Caenorhabditis elegans: one gene and its partners. The protein of the gene in region 3 interacts with the protein of the main gene of each other region in a pairwise test. Each region holds a gene or a part of one and is shown on either strand. Other genes may lie near its edges. The genes, in order: Y102A11A.2, ZK1067.3, rad-54.L and F37A4.1.

Region 1 (6,445 bases), on a different chromosome or scaffold from region 3:
TGATAGGCTACTTTCATGATCGAAATGAACTCTCTTCAGCTGCTTTTGCTTTGTGCTTTCATTGGACTTGTTTCTACACAATGGAATCTCGAGTGTAAAATTCAAGTGAAATTCCGTAATGATGCGCACAAAAAGATTCGTATCGATCTTCTCGTCCCATCACTTTCTATCATGTCTGACCCAGTTATTCTTGACGCGTGGAAGCACGAGAAAAGTGTTCATGTGAGTTTCGCATTTTGCAGGCTTTCTTGATATATTCCAGTTTTTTTTTCAGATCAAGGGAAAAAACTGCGAGCAGAAGCCATGGGTATTCATGATCTACGGATGGCAAGACGACAAATGGGTTCTCAAGAAGAAGACTCAATCCAAGTTCACTGGAAACGGATGGTTCCTGACAGCTGTTGATGATGAGTATACTCTCAATGTACTCGACAGACAAGGAATCGCGTGCTCCGAGGGAAACTGCGGAAAGTAAACAAGAGGAATAGCAATAATAAAACTGATAATAAAATTGTCTCGTTTATTCATCAATTTCAATTATAAAGAGTCATTATAAAAAGTGCTTGTAGTTGCTTCTTCCTGAGAATACTGCGGGGTGAAAAACTGGCGGACTGTATCAGTAGTCATGGTTTGATAGTTATTGTAGAATTCTTCCTGAAAGTTGAATTATAAAATAAAGTCCATATTAAATAGAGTTCAGTTTGGAAGAGCACTGTCGTTTTTTTAATCAAATTTTCTAAACTTTTAATGATTTTTCCGATTTTGCAAAATTCGAAGAAACGGCCAAATTAAATCTAAATTCCCGCGCTAATAAGTGACGTCACTCTTGACATTTTCTTTTTTTCAGATTATATTTATCTGTTTTTCTCTATTTTTTTTCAATGTTATATTTGAAACACAGCTTGTCAATTTTTCCAGCAATTTTCCGCATAAAAAATATTGCTGATTTTTTTTGGGTAAACAAGTTTTCTTCACGGAACTATGTTTGAGAAAAGTACAATTAGTTTGTCAAATAAAATTATGAAGTAAACCCTGTGAGTGTAAAAATGACGTCACTCATTTGCGAGAAAATTAAAATTTAATATGGCCGTTTCTTGGATTGTCGCAAAATTGAAAAAAAAATCATTAAAAATTTAATAAAAGTTTATAATTTTTTTTACAATTAATTTCGGTTATTACGGCCCATTTTCTATCAGTTGAATCAAAATTTCAAACCTTCTAGGGTTAGTTATTGATACTTTCGTATTGGGTCTATGGAATCTTACATCGTGCTGCTTAATAAGATGTTGAGTATCAGTAGGTCTTGAAATATCGGTTTTATCTAAAGATGATAAGATGCCGTCCACCAGATCGTGGATGAAAGAGATGACACTTGGCTGAAGAGTAGATAACTGAAATTTTCAATTTATAGCACTGTTTGAAGGTGAAGAAAAGCATGTGTGGATTTTGTTTAACTACGCTTATAGTGACTCAAAACACTCGAAAATTTTCAGAAAAAAAAAATTTAAGTGTAAAAATCGTAGAAACACTTTGTAGTTGTCACATTATGACAGAAAATTAAAATTTTCCAAAATTTTTTTGAAAAGTTTTACTATGATATTCTGTCATTTTGTCACCATTATGTAGAGTAATTTTTAAGCACTTCCCCACTCGCGCAAATATTACTTTAGGATTAGTTGAAGTCGAATGATTATTGAGTGAAGTGGAATCAGGATCTTCTTCAGTGACAGTAGAGAGAAGAGAATTCATGCTTGTCTGAAAATGTGAGTGTTCTAATAGTGAGTCAGTCACAATAAATAGAATAAATATAAAAATAGAAAGATTACTATACCGTCGAATGAAGTTCCGAGTCATCATAATCATCAAAATCATAATAATGCTCGGCATACTTTTTGCGATTGGCGTTCTGATCGGTTTTCATATTTTTCTGAAATAAATAAGTAAATTGTAAGTTGTAAAGAACTAGCTACACATACAATTCGTTGAAGAAACGTGTACTCTTCCGAGCTGTCGGCAACGTTTTGTATAGACTCCTACAAAGGCAATAAACGACCGTTTTTACGACACGATACCCACCTGATCATTAGCGCCGTCGTGTCCTTCAACTTGTCCGTTGTCTTCATCAGTCTGCGCACTTGTGAGATTTTCCGCATTTTTTGCAAGCTGAAAAAGTGACGTTGGTGGGAAACTAATAGTTACTGAAGGGCAGAAAACACTTTGAAGAACATATTTTTCTGTCAGTTATGCACTTTATTTCAAACTAAAAGGAAGAGTAGCGACAGTGGGGAAATTGTTAAAAGCCACTTTATGATGCCAAAATGACCAAATATCATAGTAAAACTTTTCGAGAAAAATTGAAAAATTTTTATTTACTGTCAAAAAGGTACAATTACTCAGTTTTGCCATTTATAATTTTGGAAGTCGATTAAAAAAAATTCCTACGATTTTTATACTTCAATTTTATTTTAATTAAGTGTGCCAAAACACTCTAGAGGTCAGAAGATGCGACATTGCTTTGGATTTCTTTAAAAACATATATTTTTCAAAAATTTGGCAGTGTGCCAGAACTTTGACTGGAAATTTTGAAAAAATTCAAAATTTTTGGTGCCACTCCACTATTATAATATTTAATATTATAATATTATATATAATATTATAATATAATATAATATAATATTTGAAAAACAAGTAAGCCATGAAATTCAAAGGAGAATTGTTTTTTTTTTCGATAAATGACTTCTAAAAAAAATTACAAACATTGAGCTTTTTCTAAATTTTAAAAAATCATATAAAATTTAGAATTTGTTAAACATTTTTTACTATAATATTTGCTGAATTTGCCGAGCGTGGCAAATTTGCCGAATTTGCCGAGCCTGGCAAATTTGCCAAATTTGCCGAGCCTGGCAAATTTGCCAAATTTGCTGAGCTTGGCAAATTTGCCGAATTTGTCGAGCTTGGCAAATTTGCCGAATTTGCGGTTTGCCGAGCTCGGCGAATTTAGAGATTCGCCGCACACCTCTGTAAAATCAAAAAGAGGAGATATATTGTTTCTAAAATGGAATACCTACGCTCTGGTTGATTTGGCGCCCTACGAGAGCGCCATTCAAGTTTTTTGAATCGCGTGAGTCTTTGATTCTTTCTTCAAGATTGCGGATAAACTTTGCCACGTCTTCATCTTCATCAACCATTGTTGCTTCCAATGCGAGCCTTTCTGCTTCCAGCCGCTGCGATTCTTCAATTCTTCTCCGATATTCCAGTTTAGCAGCTTCTTCAATTCTTCGTTGCTCTTCTCGTTTTGCCCTCTCTTTCTCTTGTTCTGCTTTCTTTTTGGCTTCAAGTTTAGCCCGAATTTCTTCCTCCTGTTTCTTCTGATTCTTGAATTCCCTCTGAGCTCTTTCAATTTCTTGAAACTGATTTGGAGTGTATCCTATTGTGAGATTCCTATTTTGCGTCTGAGAGCTCATGGGCAGAGGCTTGTATGTTGATTGAGGTTCTGTATAGTACACTGCTGGGGCTTCCCTTTGGAAAGCTGATTTATACTCACTGGACTGTGGAATTGAAGATGGGATGATTGTTGTTGTTTTACGACGATCTCGACTGTTCATATATCTCGATCGTGACGGTGAAGGACTTCTGTCTAAGTTCGATGATTGCACAGTTGTGAGATAGTTTGTACCCAAATGTGATTGTTGTATTGGCGGAGTCGTAGTTACTTTTGTGGACGGGTTTGAATATGAATGCCGAGAACTCTCGTTACCTCTTAAAAATGTGCTTACTTGAGAAGACATGGGTAGAGTTTCACGCACTTCGGCAGGTGGTGCTCTGTGCCCAGAGAAAGAGAGTGGTGAAGCAGTCGAAGTTGCCAAGGTGACGTCGTCTTTTGGACGATGATGCAAATCCATAGAGACTACAGGGGAGCGAACCGCGTTGAAAGCGCGTGAGCTAAAGTGTGGAGAATGAGAATTGGGTTGTTCTAATTTGGTATTGTGATTACTACTTGAATAATCGAAAGAAGGATTGTGTGTCAGTTGAGAACTTCTGGAACTTCTAGATTCGGAGTTTAATCTTTCACTTGATTGATGAGATGTAGCCGTGTTATATGGCTTTTCGCGATGATCGGAGTAATCCTTAGTGGGTGTAGGTCGGTGAGAAGCCGGAGAGTATGTCGTCCTTGAGAGTTCGTAGTTCGGTTGAGCAGAGTCATTGTAAGAAGATGTCGGGGATTGTTGGAAACTTCTTATTCCATCAGTACTAGGATGCACGGTCTCGTTTTTTTGATTTCTTGCATTTGAAGCATCATTTGGAGCAGTTAAATTTTCAGGATAATACCGACTGTAGTGAATAGATCTTGTGCTTTCTGCTGGGTTCTGCATACTGGCAGAATCCTGAAAGCTTTGTCGTGCACTAGAGCTACTGACAGTTGTCGGTTGTTCATTGGAATGACTCGCGTAACTATTGTAACCCACGTAAAGCGGCGGTTTCTGTGATTCCTCGTAACTTTTCGTATGAACACCTGGATCGTAAGGATTGAAATTAGTCTTTCTTGAACTTCCAGGTGAGAAAGTAGCTTGAGTTCCCAGCTGCGATCGTTGATCCACTGTTGAGCCACCACCATAATCAACTGTTAATTGCCTTGACAAATGTGGACTTCTATTTTCAGAATGATGTACACGGGATTCATCTTTGGAACTGCTCGTTTTTTGTTCTTTTCCAGTGTACTGATAGTGCAATTTTGCACCAGAAACTGAAAATTTATACATTTTAAATTGTATTTATACATATGTCATAAACTCACATGATGTAGATTTTTGAAGATTTGGAGGATGAGTCCGTGGTCCTAAATAGTTTTGATCTTGGTTGGCCATTATGCCTTTTTCTGTAAATGTTAAGAGTAAAAACTGTATTTCGAGTACACTTTTGTGCAAGCAAAATTTTAACAATGAGAACAACAGAGATGCAAGGTTTTTTGTCTAAAAAAATGTTTTCATTTTACCGTTACATTTCAAAACGAGACATGTGTCATTTGAAAAATATATACTGAAGGGTGGTCACTGCAAAATGTTGAGCCTTCAATTTTGATCTAAACATTTTTCAGTACATTTTTTCACTAATTTCGAGGCCTCTAGAATTGCACCAGATGCTGAAACTTTTCAAGGGCAGGTAAAAATTATGAAAACTCTTTGGGGTACTTATGGGTTTCGTTCCCCCCCCCCCCAAATGTTTTAATTTTCCAAATTTCAATAACCCCCTTTCAAATTAAAACACGTGAACAAAAGTAGAAAACAAAGCATTCATTTTAACAAATAAAACCATTCATTTCTCCAAATTGTTCCAAAAAGTTCACGTTTTTGTGGTTTTTGTCGTTTCTGAAATTCAATTTTCGACTTTTCAAATTAAAAACGTGAACAAAAGTGTCGGAACAAAACATTCATTTCTATAAATCGTTCCAAAAAATTCACGTTTTTGTGGTTAATTGAAATTAAGAAAATTGAAGCATTTTGAGGGGAACGAAACCCATAAATACCGTTTTTGGATGATTTCTCGCCAGTATGGAGCAAAGAAATTTTCGAAAACTTTCCTAAAATGTTTACCTACCCTTAAATATTTTGAAAAACATTGAAAGTTTGCAAAAACACTATTTCAATAAAACCGTACAGGCCTCTAAAGTAGTGGAAAAATTCACGAAAAAAATTCGAGATGGAAATTACGAAAGTTGAGATGAGAGTTTATTTAAAATTATTTCTAATAAAAATGATAATAAAATTAAAATTATTCCTTATACATAAATAAACAGTATTCCTGTAAAAATAGTGAGAAGAGCGATTGAAGACTAAATCAAGTTGGTTAGAAAAGTCATAAACGACTCTTCATGCACAACACACACGCACACAGGCACACATAAAAACTGATAACAGATCGGTGCCACACAAAATGTAAGCGATCGCCTTAAAGTACTGGGTGAAATGAAAATTTGCGAGACTCAGAAAGAGAAAATTGATAAGGTTCGAAACTTGGGAAGACAGTTTAGGCACTGTTTAAACACTTCATTGAGATGTGGGTGGTAAATTGATAATAAAATAGGTGATTCACATTTACAGACGCTTGGAAAATACACCACTGAAAAATCAAACAAAAGTGAGAAGTTTAAATGTTTATTCCAAAAATAGAATGGGAAATTTTATTTATCAAAAAATCAATGAATATCTAGGGTTTTTAATTGTCTCATTTTTCATTTGCTTCCGGAGAGTTGGATATATATTTTGATGCATTTTCAATGATTTCCGAATTTAATAATGAATCGCTGAAATTATTAAATTAATAAAAAATATTTGAAAAAAAGACTATACTTTTCTGCCGGGGACATGAATGCAAGTGCAGCAACACACGCGGTTGTGAAGAAATATGAGACTTCTTCTAATACCTATAAAATCATTAAATTAATATA
Region 2 (4,115 bases), on a different chromosome or scaffold from region 3:
AGCTGCAACCAACAACAGGTAATAATATTGATTTTCCATTAATTCATGAATCAATATTACAGGTCATTGTCCTCCAACAACAAGACAACTGCCAGAATCAATGTCAATCTTCCTGCATGAACACTTGCCAATCATCGGCTACCGTTCTTCAATGCCAGCCAATTTGCCAACAAACCTGCCAGAATACCTGTCAACAAGCCGCTCAAATCGTTGTTCCATGCCAATCGAGCTCTTCTGGATGTGGATGCTCATCTGGATATTCTCAATGCGGTGGATCATGCTGCCGTCGTCGTTAAGCATCCCCTTCCCTGAATTCTATGAACGAATTCTTACCGTATCCGCGTTTTCTATGCGACAACTTCTGTTTTCGTTTCCCCATCCCACTTCTCACATAACTTTTATTATGACATTGTCTGTAAATAAGTGGTAGCCATGTGAGGTGTCTAATTATTTTATTATTGTTCCCTTCTTTTTCATGATGTTTCATTGTCCTTGAGTTTCGACAATAAATTATTCTAATTTAAGAATTATACAAGAAATGTTTTCATTCGGCAAAACATAAAATAAAAAATCACATATATTCACAGTAATCAATCATCATATAATAAATTGTATTGTTTAGTCCTGTTTGAATAGTCCTCGAGCTGAGCGACGAAGGGTTGAGCGACGCTGAAAAAAAAATTTAAAAAGAAGAAAAACAAATGTATCCAAATTAACAGTTTTTCTAAATTTATTATTGATTTTATTCCGAATTTTGCAAATATAAACGAAGTTACTGAAACAAATTCGAATTTTCGACAGAAGTTTCAAAATTTTCGCGTTTTTTATTCATTGGTTTCTCTTGATTTTTTCCTTGATCTTTTTTAATTGTCACCCAAAAAAAAGTCGTCGAAATTTCAAAATTAGCCTAGAAATGAGTAATGTAGCATTAGTTTCAACTCTTTTTTTTCGGAAAACTTTCTGAAAAAATGACAAAGTATCGAATCAAACACTAAAGAATTTTTCAATTAATGAATGAAAATTCCATAATTCGATAGAAAATTAAAAATTTTGAAAAAAGAGCACATGCTTGTTATAAAAATGCACATACCCTTACAGCACCAGCTTTCATCATTGAGCTTCGTCGTTTTTTCTTTTTCTCTGGAACATATTCCTGCACATCGGAATCTTCTTCGGCAATATTCATAGCTTCCAAGATCGAACCGAGAGGAGTAATCGGAATTGGACCATGGGAGTTTTTCTCTGGCGATTTCACTGCGGAGATATTCTTCCAGTTCTCGATTGACTTTTCAATAAGTGCAATATGATATTTGGAGAGACCTGGTTTTAGATCGCAAAGTGTCGATAGAACTCTGGAAAAGATGAAGAATTATTACAATCGTTAAATTTTAGAAATTAACTAACGTTTGAAAACTGATCACTTGAATGTGATTTTCCTTTTCTTTTTCTTCCATTTCTTGATTCAACGAATCGTTCATGCTATCAGTCTCATCAAAGTTTAGAACAGTTCTAGGAGTTTTCGATGGACAATTGGCAAGATTGATCTTCTGGAAAAGCCTTTTTTTAGAAAGAAAATTGGATAATAAGCAATGATACTTTTCTATCAGCCTTCTTCGTCGATAAAATTGATGTTGGCTTGAAACTGAGATCCGAAATAGGACTGTGCCTAACATCTGAAGAAGAACAAGCAGCTATTCCATCAGCTTCAGCTGACTCTCGCGCCTCCTGAATTGCGGATTCAACTTCGAAAAATCGAATTTTTCGCTGACGATTGCCCGTGGTATTGAGCGAGTTGTTGGTAGAGGATGGTTTGCCTGGAGTTGCTCCAGAGGTGATATTGTTCAGAAATTCTGAGACCTGAAAAAATCATAACTTAAAAATCAAGAAATATCAATCCAAATACCTCATTCCTTTGAGATGAATTTGCTTCGAAGACATTAATACCAAGTGGCATCAAGCTTACACGTGGCTCCCGGGAAGCGATCGAGGCTCTCTGAAACAAAAAGTTCATGAAGTTCATTTCTAATATAAAGTCCTTACAAATCTGCTCATAGGCTTTCCAATCAATGACTCTCTGGCTCCGAATGTATGACGTGGCGCAGCTATCGATGGACGATTCACTGGAATGACGATTCGTCCACTTTTAATCATATCTAGCGAATTTTGATCGATTTTGAAGTCGTCCTCAGGTTCAACTTGACTGACTGGGTTCCTCAAAGCTGTGGAACTGTTTTGAGCAATAGATTGTTGAGGGGCCATGGAAACCATCGGAGCTACCGACTGTTTTGGAGCAATCGATGCTCTTGGAGCTATGGGAACCGTTGGTGGCTTCGTAGACTTTTTTGCTAACCGATTATACTTCTGTCTTGATTCCTTCAACCTATTAATCCGTTCTTCTTGTGAAATTATTGAGCGACGACGGGGAAAAACCATTCCGATCTGAAAAGTTGATTTAACATTAGTAAAACTTCACTTTCAAAAAGAGAACATAAATATTAACAAATATCAATAAACAGGAATTCACGATGCCAAATAATTAATTTTCAAACAAAGATGTTTTAACTATATTATTCATTTGTTATGAATATATGCAAATGAATTAAAAAAAAAATAAATATAAAACAAGTGTGAGGGAGAGATTCGGGGGTCCTGCTGAATTCAAAAACAAATTACGCGCGTCGAAACGAGATGGAGCGCCAATGCAATAAAACCCGAGTAAAAAGAGGGGTAGAGGACACGTTTTTTCTGGGATACGATTTCTGAAGATTTCGGTGGGAATATTGAAAAAATAAATAGTAACTGAATTTCAATTTTTCTCAATCGAAATCTCAAGGAATCCACATCCAAAAAAGTGTTAAGGAAAATGTACCAGCTCACTTAAATTTACAGTTAAAACGTTGATATGAAAAGGGAGGGGGGGGGGGGGGTCTAAAATCAAAAAATAAATACGATATTTTACAAAAAATGGAATGACTAGAGTTCTGGAACTTGAAGTCTTCTCCATGACCAGAACTTTGGAGTAGGTTCGAGCAGTTTTGGGGCAACTTTGACGACGATAGCCTCGAAATTCTCTGAAAACTTTTCTATAAGAAGCAAGTTTTCAATAATTAAACATACCGATATTAAGCGCGTAATTATGTTGCTCGTTGTATCTGAACATGTTCAGGCATGCATCATTTATTGCATGAGCATCTGAATCCGCGATGTCTTTCTTTTCCAAAACCAATTGGTGGCACATAGAAGTGAGCTGAAAAACAAAATTATTTGTCAATTTTGGAAACCAAACGAACCTGCTGCAGAACAGTCATTCTTGAAATAAGCCATTTCAGCTTTGGAATAATCGCACCAGGCATGAACGTTTCGTAAGTATTCGATAGATGAATATTCACTCGATTCAACTCATCAATCAATTTTGGAAATGGCATATCTCCTAAAACTCTCACTGACATCAGATCGAATGTTGGTGGAATGTCTTTTCTTCTGGAAACTCGGAACTTCGATGAAACCGACAAAAGTCTGGTGATAGCTAGGCAGCAGTTTGCAACTTGAAGTAGGGATGCAAATTTGAACTTGTGCTCCGGCTTTCCTTTGAATGTTTCCGCTGATGTTCGAATGTCGAGAATTTTTTGATGGAAGTTGCGTAGAATGTCCTCCGAAGCATTGGTGAGATTAGTCGTCACATTACGTATTTCTCCAATTGAATCCTGAACAGCTTGAAAAACTCTTCCTTCTAATGTTGATTGATGGATGTTCCGAATATTGGATTCAAGCTTTCTCATGTTCTCATTCAAGTAATACTTCTTAGTGTATCTTGCATATCTCAAGACTCCAACAATGAACGCCGAACACTTGGGACATTTCAACTTCTCATTAGCTTCTTTTTGTTTTTTGACGTGATCATCAAGAACTTCCACAGGAAAAACGTGATAACATTTCGGAATCATGATGAGACGATGAACTCGTGATGTACTTGAGGTGCCAGAAACACATTCAATGTATTTGTTTCGTTCACACGTGCCACAGATTTTCGGACATTGCTCACCACAAATACCAAGACATGCATGTCCACATTTGAGTTTATCAGTGCACGGTTCTGTACATGGCTTCACGTTGCA
Region 3 (7,585 bases):
ATACACTCAAGATATTTGCGATATGCACACAACTGCCAATTTACCACTTTAAAATCCAAAGAAACGAAATCAAGGAACGGAAGACTTATTTTTCATATTTGTTCAAATAAAAGGGGTTCATGCAATAAAAATAGTGCAATCAATTGGGAAATTGGGAAACTATACACAAAAATGTAAAAATAAATATGAAATAAACAGGAGCCAGAAAATGGAAATCAATGGGAAAGAAGTGGTGATGGGGACAAAGTACACAATTTCGAAAAATACCGCATTTTGGTGGAGGGATGGAAACAATATTTTGATGGGCCGAGATTAAATTGGAAAAAAGCTTCTAAAAACTCACTTTTTGAAAACTAAATATCTCAAAAGATCAGAAAGCGTTACTCATTTTTTGTTATGTAAAAATATGATAAGAAAACATTATCATTTTTTAAAAGTTTCCTTCTGTTTATTGAAACAGACAGCGTTAAAACTATAACTCTGGGTATTTTGAGATTTTTCTCGTGAGCGGAGAATTTAGAAACATTTTAAAATTTAAGCGGTACGAATTTTGCCAGGCACGTAGTTTTTGTCAATAGTTGGCTCCTGGAGGAAAATATGGAGAGAGCGTTCGTTTTGAGCAAGTGGATGTCCAGCAACCCTGCAAGAACATATTATTAAAACTTTTAGAAATGTGAAAATTTTCTGAGTTCATTTTGATGTCCGTATAGTTGAACAGTTTTACGTACTTATTGATGAATAACTCGAGAGCTTTGCGCCTATTTTCAATGAATTCCTCTTCAAAAATTCCATCATCGGATCGGAATGGCAGTTGCCGTTTGAATGATTTTCCTGGCAACGTTGGAACCACAATCTTGCTATCTCGCTCTAGTTCAGCACGAACCCATTCGAAATCACTGTATCGGCGACGCACGCTTGATTCTTTCTGCTTGAAAACGGGGAGATTCGACTGAAACAACGATTTTATTATGCGGTCAGTGTTAATCTATACTTACTCTCATTCTGATTTCGTAATCCGTGTAGCGCATTTTTCCAACACCATGAGTGATAGGATTGATAACCTGCAAGTTATCTTGATCTAATTCATTGATTTTTATTCAAACCTCAATTTCAAGGAAGTTGGCCGGCGGGGCATATGCCTCGTCCAGCGTTTGCCGTTTTGAAGGGATCCGCTGAGTTGCCGACGCGCCGGATGCCATTTGCACTGCAAATATTCTAAATTATATCAAAGTTGCTTTGAATTGTTTATTTAAGTATCGATTTTCACAATATAAACAAAATAAAAGTGAAATTTATGTTGGAATCCAAAGCTTTAATCGACAACATGCGAGAACATCGTTTGCTTTTTGTTTCGCTGTTCGGCAAACTAAAATGGAAAAAATAATATGAAGCTGTGAAAAATCAATAAATAAAACTGGAATTTCAAGGAAATTACGGCAAAAATGACTCATCGCGCGCCGATAAACAAAACGAATCAAGAAATGAAAAAAGTGGCAAAAGTACGCAAACACTTTTGTGTTAATGCACACAAAAAATTCAACCGTACCTCAAACTGAAATTTCAAAAGCAGACACCGCAGATTCATGGAATGAAAAAGCAGTGACTCGCTATGACTCAAAATTTTAAAAAGATTATAATTGATTCAAAAGCAAAAAAATGTTTCACAACAAATCTATGTTGTAAAATAATTGTTAAATTGAAAATTAATAGCTGACACCGCCCTGTGTCCGTGTTTCGTCTTCTTCGAAACTTTGTTTTCGTTCAAGATGGCGCGGCGCCGTTCTTTTTGAATAAAAAGAGCATTTTAAAAATTTTGTTGAATTTCTGTAAATTCTACTTGTTTATTCAGTTGTTCTGCGAAATTAAAGATTTTCTTAGTTTTCAGGAATGCCAAAAAAAACGTTCGAAAATTTAGAAGATAGTCATGGAAAAGATGTTAATATCCCAGTTGAACTGCCAAAAAGGAAACGAGAAGTTACACCGGAAAATTTGTGAGCTTTTATAAAAAATTCAAATTTTAACACATACCGTATTCCCTCTATTAGTCTTGCATGCAAGACTAATAGAGGAAATACGGTAATAGTCATGCACCCCTATTCTTGCCAGGCCAGCAGTATTTTGTCAAAACTTCAAAATTTTCGCCATTTTTTAGCTAAATTAAATTTTAAACTGTTCAAGTAATTGATAAAACAATAGAAAAGCATGTATTTTGCATGATTTAGACTGTTTCAAGTCAAAATTTTGACGATAAATGGCCAATTTAACAAAGCTATTGGATCTTCGAAAATTAGTCTTGTAGCCTCTAATAGTCTTGCAGTCCCTATTAGTCTTGCACCCCTACGGGTCTATTGAAAATTAGTCTTGCATGCAAGACTAATAGAGGAAATGCGGTATATTATTTTCAGACCTTCCACAAGCTCTACTGCTCCAACACAAAAACGGAAAAGTCTAGGATATTCAGGACGAACGGAGGAACCGAAAAATGTATTAATATTTTTAGTTGCAATGAAATACAATTCGGAACTTAATTGTAATTGTAATTTTTAATGTTTTTCAGATACACAAAACCTTCATTTCCCCTTTTTCTACGTCAGTTTCTCCTTCAAAACAAGGTCTTCGACGACGAAAGAAGGCACTGCCTGCCATAGAACCACCTGTATCTGTAGAAGAAGCAAGTCCATTACGTTTTGTGAATATCGATGTATTCTCTAGACGTATGGCTTCCGAATCATCAGATCACGATGCTATGATTGCGAAGTTGTTGTCGAGAAAGTTTTCAATTCCGATGGAGGGATATATGTGTAAGAAAACATGTAAAAATGTTTATTTTAAACGAGTTTTCAGTATCTGGTCGAAGCCTAGGTCTTGGTGGAAACCGTCGAAAATGTGCTCTATTTGATCCATATCATGAAGGTGCATTGATTCTTTATGCTCCTGAACATCTTAGTGAACACGCACAACTCAAGGAAGATAAGGATCGAAAGGTGAGAATTTTAGCTGCGAGAATCGAAAAAAAAACATGAATAAAAAAAACGACTCAAATATTGCAAAAATATGAATGTCCATTTTATCAAATTTTTCAGGTGCACGTGGTAGCCGATCCGGTTGTTGGAAAAATCCTGCGTCCGCATCAAAGAGATGGTGTTAAATTCATGTGGGATTGTGTGACTGGTATTAATATTCCCGAATTTCATGGATGTATTATGGCTGATGAAATGGGTCTTGGAAAGACACTTCAATGCATTTCTCTACTTTGGACACTTCTACGACAAAGTCCCGATGCGTGTCCAACAGTTTCGAAGAGTATTATCGTTTGTCCAAGTAGTTTGGTGAAAAATTGGGATAAAGAAATCAAAAAGTGGTTGGGAACACGGCTGAATGCGATGCCAGTGGACAGTGGAAAACGAGAACAGATTATTGCTTGTCTCAGTGAGTGAATAAACTTGAAATCTTGAAGAAAATGTTATAAACCCCTGAAATTAAGTTAATTTTCCAACTTCAGATTCATTTATGGCGGATTCAAAAATGCGTTGTGCCATCCCTGTTCTCATTATTTCATATGAAACATTCCGTCTTTATGCGAATATTCTTCATTCTGGAGATGTCGGAATCGTTATTTGTGACGAGGTAGATACTGTATTGTTTTGACTCTATTTAAAACGAGCTTTTCAGGGACATCGACTCAAAAACAGCGAGAATCTGACGTATCAGGCGTTGAGTGGTCTCAAATGTGCTCGAAGAGTCCTGATTTCGGGTACACCTATTCAAAATGACTTGTTAGAGTATTTTAGGTACTATTTGTTCAAAATATTCAATTATTTTTAATTAACTTCAGTTTGGTCAATTTCGTGAATCCCGGACTTTTGGGTACTGCAAGTGAGTTCAGGAAGAAGTTCGAGAATGCTATTCTAAAGTTAGTTATTTTTATTCCCAATTTTTTTAATCCGTGATCTTTTCTAGAGGTCGCGACGCCGACGCAAGTTCAGAAGATCAGAAGAAAGGTGAAGAGAAAACGAAGGAAATGATTTCACTTGTAGAGAAATGCATTATTCGAAGAACATCAGCTCTTTTAACAAAATATCTTCCGGTATGATATGAAAGTTTCTGATTTCTAAATAAAATTATTTAATTTCAGGTTAAATATGAGCACATCATCTGCTGTAAAAACTCAACACTTCAAGAGACACTCTACAATAAACTTATCGAATGTGAAAAACAAAACCGCATTGTCGAAAAGGACAAGGTATTTTGTTTGAAAATTCAAAAAATACAAATAAATTGTTTTTAGGGTGCCACCGCATCTGCTCTTTCGTTTATCACTCATCTCAAAAAGCTTTGCAATCATCCATATTTGGTTTATGATGAGTTTCAAAAACCTGATAATAGGTTCAGAAACAGTGAGTTTAGAATTTCAGATTTATAAAAATGTATTCAAAATCAAGAAAAAATCGGAGCATTTAAAATCGGAAAAAAAAGTTCAAAATTTAACTATAAATTTCAATGTTTCGTAAAGCTTTGTTTATGCTGATGAAAAAAAAAAGAAAACGTATAATATTCTTCAGAAAAAACCAAAATTTTAAGATATTTTTCGAAAATTCAAAAAAATTTTTAATATCGGAAAAACAAAAAAAAGGTTTCGATTTACGATTTTAGTGAAAAATCGAAAAACCGACACCGTTTTTCACAAACTTCTGAAAATAATTTTCAGAATGTCTATCCATATTCCCTGAATCATTTAACCCGAAATCATTTGATCCATCGTTTTCTGGAAAAATGAAAGTTCTCGATTATATTCTCGCAGTCACTCGCAAAACAACTGATGACAAGTTTGTTCTCGTATCAAACTACACACAGACAATTGATCAATTTATGGAGGTAAGCGAATTTCCAAAAAAAAAATGATTTATGATAAAAATCTAGACCGACTTAAATGTGGAGTTCGCTTCAAAAAATCATAAATAGTCTCAAATTCAGAAAATTCACAACGGAGAAAACGAAAAAAAAAGTCAACTTTAAAAAATCAATTTTCCATGTTCGGCTAAATGTTCTGTTTGAATTTCCTTCAAAATGAGAAGCCCACTTTCCAAAAAAACAAGGAATTTAAAATGTCGATTTGTTTTTTTTTTCGCGATTTGTTTGCTTTCTTTTGTGGGTTTTTTGGAATGTATGACTATTTTGGATTTTTTGAAGCAAATTCACCACCTTTAAAATCTAGACCGACTTATAACGTGGTCACTTAAACTTTGAAACTTCTTCACTTTTCAGCTGTGCAAACTTCGTGGCTATGATTTCGTGCGCCTTGATGGTTCAATGTCAATCAAACAACGTTCCAAGATTGTCGATACATTCAATGATCCAGCCAGCACTATCTTCTGTTTCCTTCTTTCTTCGAAAGCTGGTGGATGTGGTCTAAATCTTATTGGAGCCAATCGATTAGTTATGTTTGATCCGGATTGGAATCCAGCGAATGACGATCAAGCAATGGCGAGAGTTTGGAGAGATGGACAGAAGAAAATGTGTTTCATCTATAGACTTTTAGCAACTGGATCAATTGAAGAGAAAATGTTTCAACGTCAGACACATAAAAAAGCATTGTCATCGTGTGTGGTAAGATTTCCTCTTGTTCATATAATCTAAAAATGTTCTAAAGACTACTAGAACTAAAATGTTAAATTTTGCGATTTTGTCAAAAAATTCGGTTCCCCGCTTCGACTTTTCTCAAATGCAAATGAGTGTGCGCCTTTCAGGAGTACTGTAGTTCTCAATTCCTCGTTATCGTGAAACTTTTTTTTAATTTTTTGCTATTTCTTTTTCGCCTTTTCAAATACTGTATTACATGTATCTTAATTTGCTGAAAATTCTGAAAAAAAACCTAGAACCACGGTACTCTTTAAAGGCGCTCGCCATTTTTAATTGAAAAATTGGTCGTGTCGAGACGCGGTAACTAACTTAATTTTAGAGTGAAAATTGCAGATTATTATGTGGTTATTATTATCAGTATCTGGGTATTTAATAGTTATCTTAAAAATTTCAGGTTGATGCGGGTGAAGACGTAGCTCGTCATTTTAGTTCCGAGCAACTTCGAGAACTCTTCAAGTTGGAATCAACAGTGGCATCGGATACACATGAAAAGTAAGTATCAGAATGAAAATAATATTTTTTATAAAACCGATTTTATTTTTGGTGAATTTTTCTTCTGATAGTTATAATAATGTTATGCATTATAATGTACAATTGTATAAATTTCTTTCAGATTAAAATGTAAAAGATGTATTCAAGGAGTTGAAAGTGTTGATCCACCAACCAATGCGGACTGTGCAAGTGATTTATCGAATTGGTTTCATTCTCAGAAATCAGCTAGAAAAGTTTGTATTTATTATCTTTATTTTTAAATATTTTAATTTTCAGGTGGCTGATAATGTGCTCCGAGCCGTCTTCGAATGTGGATCGATCTCCTTTGTTTTTCATCAGAAATCGCACAACGTAGGTTTAAAAAAACTACGTCTATGGTGCCAAAATTACCAAATATAATAGTAAAATGTTTCAAAAAAAAGTGGAAATCAAAAAGTGACAATTGCTCAGTTTTTGTCACTCAAAATTTTGGAAGTCGACTAAAACAATTTTCCAAAACCGACTGGATTTTTTTTTTGGAAATTCTTTCGAATTCTAGTTGTGTAGTTTATTTTTCTAATTCTGTAATTTTTAAATTGTCTGTGATATATAATTTAGAATCATTGAATTAATATTTCCATGCTTCAAAATAGCGTTTTGCAGGTTGAAGTCAAGAAAGTTCAGGAAAAAGTTGAAGAAGTTGATGAGGACTACGTGCCTTCTGAAGCCGAAGAAAACGACGATTAGTTAAATGTTTCCAAGTTGAAACAAATCTAGAAGTCTCCCTATTTCATAACATAGACTATCTATGCGATGAAAACGGGACATGTTATATTGTTTTGTTATTTATTTAATTTGTTTCTTTCAATTTTTGTTCCAAGTCATCCCAATATCATTTTTATCGCCCGATCTCATGTAAAATACACCGCCTGCAATATGAATTTTCAATTTATTTTTCAAATTCAGACAAAAAAAAGACAAACTTTGATCAAATTGTGGGTGGGTTGGAAACGAAAGGGGTAGTTGGTAGTTTTTTTTTGCACAAAAATACATTGATACGATGTACAAATTTTCAGAAAAAAAATTCATGAAAAATGTTGAGAAAGAGGAAAAAATTATGCAAAAAAAGACATTATTTTGTAATTTGAGGGAAGAAATTATGCCTATTATTATAATAAAAACTTTAAATTTTCCGGGAAAGGTCAGGCGCCAACAGGTATGAAATGAATATATTATATTTTTTGAGCTTTGATGATGTAAATAAAACGGAAATGTTGATTATCGATCGATTTTTTTTTCAAATTTGAAAAATCAAAATCGACAATCTTCGACTTAGACAATAAATATGCAAAATGTCGCAAAAAATTCAATTTTTTGGGGGAATATTTTGGTCAGAATCAGTTCACTTTTTACAGGTTTGAGTTAACCTATTTGAGGTAATTGACTAGAAGAAATTTTTTTAAAAATATGGAAA
Region 4 (4,622 bases), on a different chromosome or scaffold from region 3:
AAAACAATTGCTGTTGGAGCTTTTGGAACGACAGAGGTAACAATGTGTTCCGCTGTGACGATATCTCCTTTGTCATTAACGAAATACTCGAAGACGTGGATTTGTTTCTCGTTTGTTCCAACTGCAACAAGTCGCCGGCCATGAGTGGTCAAGACATTGGAATGAGCGAGACACAGAATCTACAAAAAAATACTATCAGAACAAACGTTTCGATTATTTTAGGACTGACCACTCTTTTCTCAACAGCTTTCAATTCTTTTTCAATATCGAAGGAAGGCTTTTGAATCCGTTCCGGGTTGATTTTTGACCAACTAATGAAGTTCTGAAATAAAATTTTGAAATTTCAAGTTTAAAAATATGAAACACCTTCAATTCAGTTTCTTCGCTGATTCTGAACGTACGGATCAAGTCTCCAGATGCAATGAAAACTCGTTCCCGAAATGCTGTGATGAACGACATGTCAGTCTGAATATCGAGTTATTAATATTGAATTTTCTGAACATTAAAACTATAACAAAAGGTATCGAAGAGCGCATGACTCATTGCTTGACTATTTAAAAAACAATGAAATAAATACAAATAAATACTAGCTTTCTTTTGACATTCGATAAATAAAGAAATATTGCACCCAATATTATCGACTATTCTAAATACAATTATTATTTAAATGTACAAGCGATTGGGGAGTTGGGACAAAGAGAAAGGTGAACAATTGAGTTGATAATTGAGATGGTTGCCTAGAAGGTATCACGGCCATGCGGAATGTTGAAGTATCTGAAACTTTGCGATGAAAAGATTTACTGGAAATGAGAAACTTACTGTGGATCGAGAGGAGTAACGTGATTTGCGTCGAAATCAATCAAATAGTGATTACATGCATCAAAAAGACGTTTTCTTTGTGTTGATTCTTCGCGCAAGCTGACTCCCGAATGCATGAGCCGTTCGGTTGGAGTCATGTCGAGCCAACGATCTACTTGTGGTTCCAAATTTTGAATCAACTCGGGATGTCTGTCTTTGATGATCGATTTGAGTAGCCAATTGATTCGATTTGTTGCTCGTCGAACATTCTCGGGTTGATCATCAACTGCAGTGGTCAGAATCTCTTCTTGGAGGCGTCGAATCAGACGGATTGGTCCCTTGTAACGAGCGAGCTGAAAATTAGGAAATTAAAGTAGTCTTTCGAGCAGTTTTAAAGGTTTCTTAACATACCAATTTATCGATTTGAAGATTCATATGGTTTCTGATCGCATGCTCCACAATGGTAGAGAAGAACTGAAATGGAAACATTAACCTCAATTTTTTTTTTCAATTTTGTACCGTCGGCATTCTGAACAGCGCAAGTGGCAGTAAGTCGTCGAATGTGGCATCCAATACAACTGCTTTTACATCTAAAAATTATATATTAGAAGATTTTTTATAGCATAAATTATACTCACTTGGATAGTTGGACGCGAGCCAAGCAACTGGGAACCCGCCAATCGACCACCCAAAAAGAACAATATTCTCCTGGCGATATCCAAGAACTTGAATAGCGTACTGCATTACTGCGTCTGCAGCTGCTAAAGTGTTTACTGCGTATGGAAGTCCCGTACTTTCTCCAAAGCCCGGAAGATTGAAGCCGAGAGTCTGAAAAGTCGAATAAATGAAATTGGCTACGAAAAAGATTGTTTTACCGTATATCCCAATTGAGCAGGAGAGTTCATTACTCCAATTTCATAAAATCCGGCATTTCCTTCAAAACATATTATAAGATCCTGTGATTGATTAGTGCCTCTCAAAAACATCGCATCGAGAGTGTCTCCTTCTGACGATTTGATCCACAAACGCTGCCCATTCTGAAAATAATGCAAATTAATTAGTTGCAAAATTATGTTTTACCGTTTTTTCTTCAAAAGCTAGAAATCTACTTTCAGGAAAGAAATTTTGTTTTTTTTTCAGAATTTGACACAAGGATTAAAACACTGTATTCATTTACAACCATAATCTACTATTATACTGTCCCGTTTACAGCCTGCCATAAATTCAGAACCACTGACACGGTGGCCGAGTGGTTTAAGGCATGAGACACTTGATCTCAAACGGTTCTAACCGAACGCAGGTTCGAATCCTGCCCGTGTCAGAATTTTTTATTGAACTTAAATTGTTTTTGTTTTTAAAGTCGTTCACCTTATTTTGAACCAGAAGCTTTCGTGCAGCATTCAAATTTGGTCTCATCATGTATTTCAAAAGTGCCATTGATCCGGGATAAATCAAATGTCTTCCAAATGCGTGAATCGCCCAACTCGCCAGACCGCGAGTAACAACGCCGGCTTCAGCGACTTCTGGTTTTAAATGCCATAAATCCGAATTGGGGCGAGCTACAAAATCGGGAATCACGTCTAGAAGTTCAAAGTCGTACTTCTTTAGTGCTGCATGACTGTTGTCATCCTTCTGAAACGTAATTAATACATAAACATAAAGATTTCAACTGATACCTTGTTTTTTTCGTTTTCCCAAATATCTAAAAATCTCGAGTTTGTTTCGTCAAAGAGCCGACCGAATGTTCTTGCTCCATAACCGATTAGTGTTAAATATCCGGCATATTTCAGAATTGTCAGCATTCCAGCTGGTGTGAGCCAGTCTCGACTGTACAAGTAACATAATATTACGGGGCCAAAAGCTAATGAACTGGCAATGTAGTAAATTCCTAAAAACAAGTTTGGAAAAGGTTATGCTTCATAAAATAATATAACCTGCAGAAAACGATATGACGGTGTTTCCGAGATTTTCCAGTGTTGGTTCCTGTCGATTGGGTTGTCCAAAAATTCCATAAAGCCGTGGTCCCGAAATTTGCGTCCAGAAGGACGGCATTTCGACTAGTTGCTACTGAAATATGTAAATAGGGAAAACACAATTAACAAAAGACAATATAAAATGTAATGGACATATATACCATTTTTCAGAATTTTGATACAAAAAAAAACATCAATTGAGAAAAACAATTATATTAAATCAAACATGTACAAATAAGTTATTCCGTAATAAAAACTTCAAGTAGAAACTTCAGTTTTTTCATCATCCGTTTCTTCCTTCTCAACTTTATCTTTGTCTTCGACTTCTGTGTTTTGTTTTCCTTCAGATTCGTTATCAGATCCTGATCCTGAGTCTGAATCCGAATCATCTGATGAGCTCTCGTCAGATTCATTATTCTTTTTTGTCAATTTTCTCTTCTTAGCAGCAGCTTTTTGCCTTAATCGCTTTGCTCTCTTCTTCGCGGTTTTTGATTCTTCTTCCTTTTCAAGTTTTTCTACTTTGTGACGGTAGGCATCGTCCAATTCTTCTTTTTTTGCTACCGCATCAATGTAGTCAAGTCGATTTTGTTCTTTTCGTCGGTTGTTTCTGAAATTTGGATATGAAAAGACAAATTAAAAGTATAACTTTTCTAACCTGTAAATATGAAATTCAGCACTTCCGGCAGCAGCTGAAGAACCAACGACATTTCTCACGAATTCCAAAGGTTCTTTTGGCGCTCTCAGTGTCTCCTTTTTAATTGGAATTGGAGCGGGCTTGTCCTGCAATTATAACAAATAAAATTATTATATTTTTAGCTAAATTAAACTTACAATATTTTGTTGCAATCTTGCCAGTCTCATCCGAATTAAATCGGTTGCGGAATTTGCTCGGCGCTCTTCTTCTGTGATTGGATCATCTCGTGGCATAATGAGATTTTCTAGAAATTATCAAAAAAGAAATTAGTGCAAAAAAACCGGGAAATTTTATGTTTTATCCGCGAAAAATCGAAAAGATTGGCACGCTAAACTACACGCGCTGCGTCATCTCGGAGCGTCGTACTGCAGTTTCAAAATCCAATTTTTTTGTTTTGGCTTTCTTAGAAGCTACTTCTAGATAGGAAGTTGCTTATTATCAGTTAAAATATAAAGTTTATCAAATAATTATATTTACTTTTCATTATTCTATAGTTTCAAAGTCAACTTCAATTCATCATCAGCTTACAGAATGGAAATCAATAACGGGGCTCAACCAGAAAATGCGGCTGTTTCGATTCCGTCACGGTAAGTTCTGACGACCTCTTTTTCTCCAAAATTTTTAATTTTCAGCTCACCGTCTGGGAAGTCCGAAAAACGAAAAAGTCCAAGCATTGTTTCCGGCTGCCGTACGGTTATGAATGAGAGAAGCTTTACCAATTATTGGTCCGTTGAGCGCTTCACGGTACAATTAGAGCTTCACAATCCAGCAGAATTCATGCTGGCACCGTAAGCAAATATAATATGTTTAAGATTAATCAGTTTTACATTTTTCAGTAAATTTGGAGATGGGGATTATGAGTTTGTCATGAAACTATTTCCGAATGGGAAAGACGAAGAAACCGCCGGATATCTTTCACTTTTTCTGCTCATAAATAGTACGTAGAGAACTTTAAGTGTTTCATTTTTCGTTATTAAATGTTATTTACGAAGATTCTTTCCAGAATGCCCTAATCCTCGTCTCCGTTTCCGTGTCAGCTTTACAGTCGAAACAGCAGACGGTCCAAGAAGTTGCCATCTCAATAAGAATCTTGTTACGATCAATCGTAGTGGTATCGTGACTGCAAGCAAGTTCTTTTCATTAGACATTCTCAGGGT

The links.
Region 1: the proteins of rad-54.L (region 3) and Y102A11A.2 interact in a two-hybrid assay, tested with the Caenorhabditis elegans proteins (one large-scale study listed by BioGRID).
Region 2: the proteins of rad-54.L (region 3) and ZK1067.3 interact in a two-hybrid assay, tested with the Caenorhabditis elegans proteins (one large-scale study listed by BioGRID).
Region 4: the proteins of rad-54.L (region 3) and F37A4.1 interact in a two-hybrid assay, tested with the Caenorhabditis elegans proteins (one large-scale study listed by BioGRID).

Annotation. Positions count from the first base shown.
Region 1 is NC_003284.9:2,025,073-2,031,517, reverse strand, and holds Y102A11A.2 (Chromatin-remodeling ATPase INO80), read right to left. Parts: upstream 4,877-6,445; 5' UTR 4,866-4,876; coding exon 4,796-4,865; intron 4,745-4,795; coding exon 3,069-4,744; intron 2,164-3,068; coding exon 2,077-2,163; intron 2,034-2,076; coding exon 1,977-2,033; intron 1,928-1,976; coding exon 1,832-1,927; intron 1,756-1,831; coding exon 1,666-1,755; intron 1,392-1,665; coding exon 1,266-1,391; intron 655-1,265; coding exon 538-654; 3' UTR 508-537; downstream 1-507. Other genes in the region: Y102A11A.5 (MliC domain-containing protein), read left to right, coding at 25-222, 275-475; Y102A11A.3 (Protein unc-13 homolog A), read right to left, coding at 6,223-6,301, 6,348-6,421.
Region 2 is NC_003280.10:9,221,593-9,225,707, reverse strand, and holds ZK1067.3 (uncharacterized protein), read right to left. Parts: upstream 2,440-4,115; 5' UTR 2,434-2,439; coding exon 2,041-2,433; intron 1,994-2,040; coding exon 1,904-1,993; intron 1,858-1,903; coding exon 1,597-1,857; intron 1,548-1,596; coding exon 1,405-1,547; intron 1,353-1,404; coding exon 1,091-1,352; intron 670-1,090; coding exon 619-669; 3' UTR 532-618; downstream 1-531. Other genes in the region: abu-14 (Activated in Blocked Unfolded protein response), read left to right, coding at 1-18, 63-296; znfx-1 (NFX1-type zinc finger-containing protein 1 homolog), read right to left, coding at 2,974-3,071, 3,118-3,247, 3,291-4,115.
Region 3 is NC_003279.8:9,063,200-9,070,784, forward strand, and holds rad-54.L (DNA repair and recombination protein RAD54-like), read left to right. Parts: upstream 1-1,879; 5' UTR 1,880-1,887; coding exon 1,888-1,991; intron 1,992-2,405; coding exon 2,406-2,484; intron 2,485-2,557; coding exon 2,558-2,801; intron 2,802-2,844; coding exon 2,845-2,984; intron 2,985-3,083; coding exon 3,084-3,429; intron 3,430-3,502; coding exon 3,503-3,627; intron 3,628-3,672; coding exon 3,673-3,791; intron 3,792-3,835; coding exon 3,836-3,913; intron 3,914-3,960; coding exon 3,961-4,087; intron 4,088-4,135; coding exon 4,136-4,243; intron 4,244-4,288; coding exon 4,289-4,397; intron 4,398-4,708; coding exon 4,709-4,875; intron 4,876-5,265; coding exon 5,266-5,607; intron 5,608-6,034; coding exon 6,035-6,132; intron 6,133-6,253; coding exon 6,254-6,365; intron 6,366-6,408; coding exon 6,409-6,483; intron 6,484-6,774; coding exon 6,775-6,858; 3' UTR 6,859-7,065; downstream 7,066-7,585. Other genes in the region: snx-3 (Sorting nexin-3), read right to left, coding at 535-640, 729-949, 996-1,061, 1,104-1,199.
Region 4 is NC_003281.10:6,721,632-6,726,253, reverse strand, and holds F37A4.1 (alpha/beta hydrolase), read right to left. Parts: upstream 2,866-4,622; 5' UTR 2,851-2,865; coding exon 2,733-2,850; intron 2,687-2,732; coding exon 2,475-2,686; intron 2,431-2,474; coding exon 2,167-2,430; intron 2,120-2,166; exon of another isoform or gene 2,034-2,119; intron 1,836-2,033; coding exon 1,674-1,835; intron 1,627-1,673; coding exon 1,437-1,626; intron 1,389-1,436; coding exon 1,318-1,388; intron 1,273-1,317; coding exon 1,210-1,272; intron 1,152-1,209; coding exon 820-1,151; intron 775-819; coding exon 738-774; 3' UTR 530-737; downstream 1-529. Other genes in the region: wdr-4 (tRNA (guanine-N(7)-)-methyltransferase non-catalytic subunit), read right to left, coding at 1-179, 230-322, 367-459; F37A4.2 (PRKRIP1 family protein), read right to left, coding at 3,030-3,378, 3,427-3,551, 3,603-3,698; bath-41 (BTB and MATH domain-containing protein 41), read left to right, coding at 3,997-4,052, 4,098-4,253, 4,302-4,402, 4,469-4,620.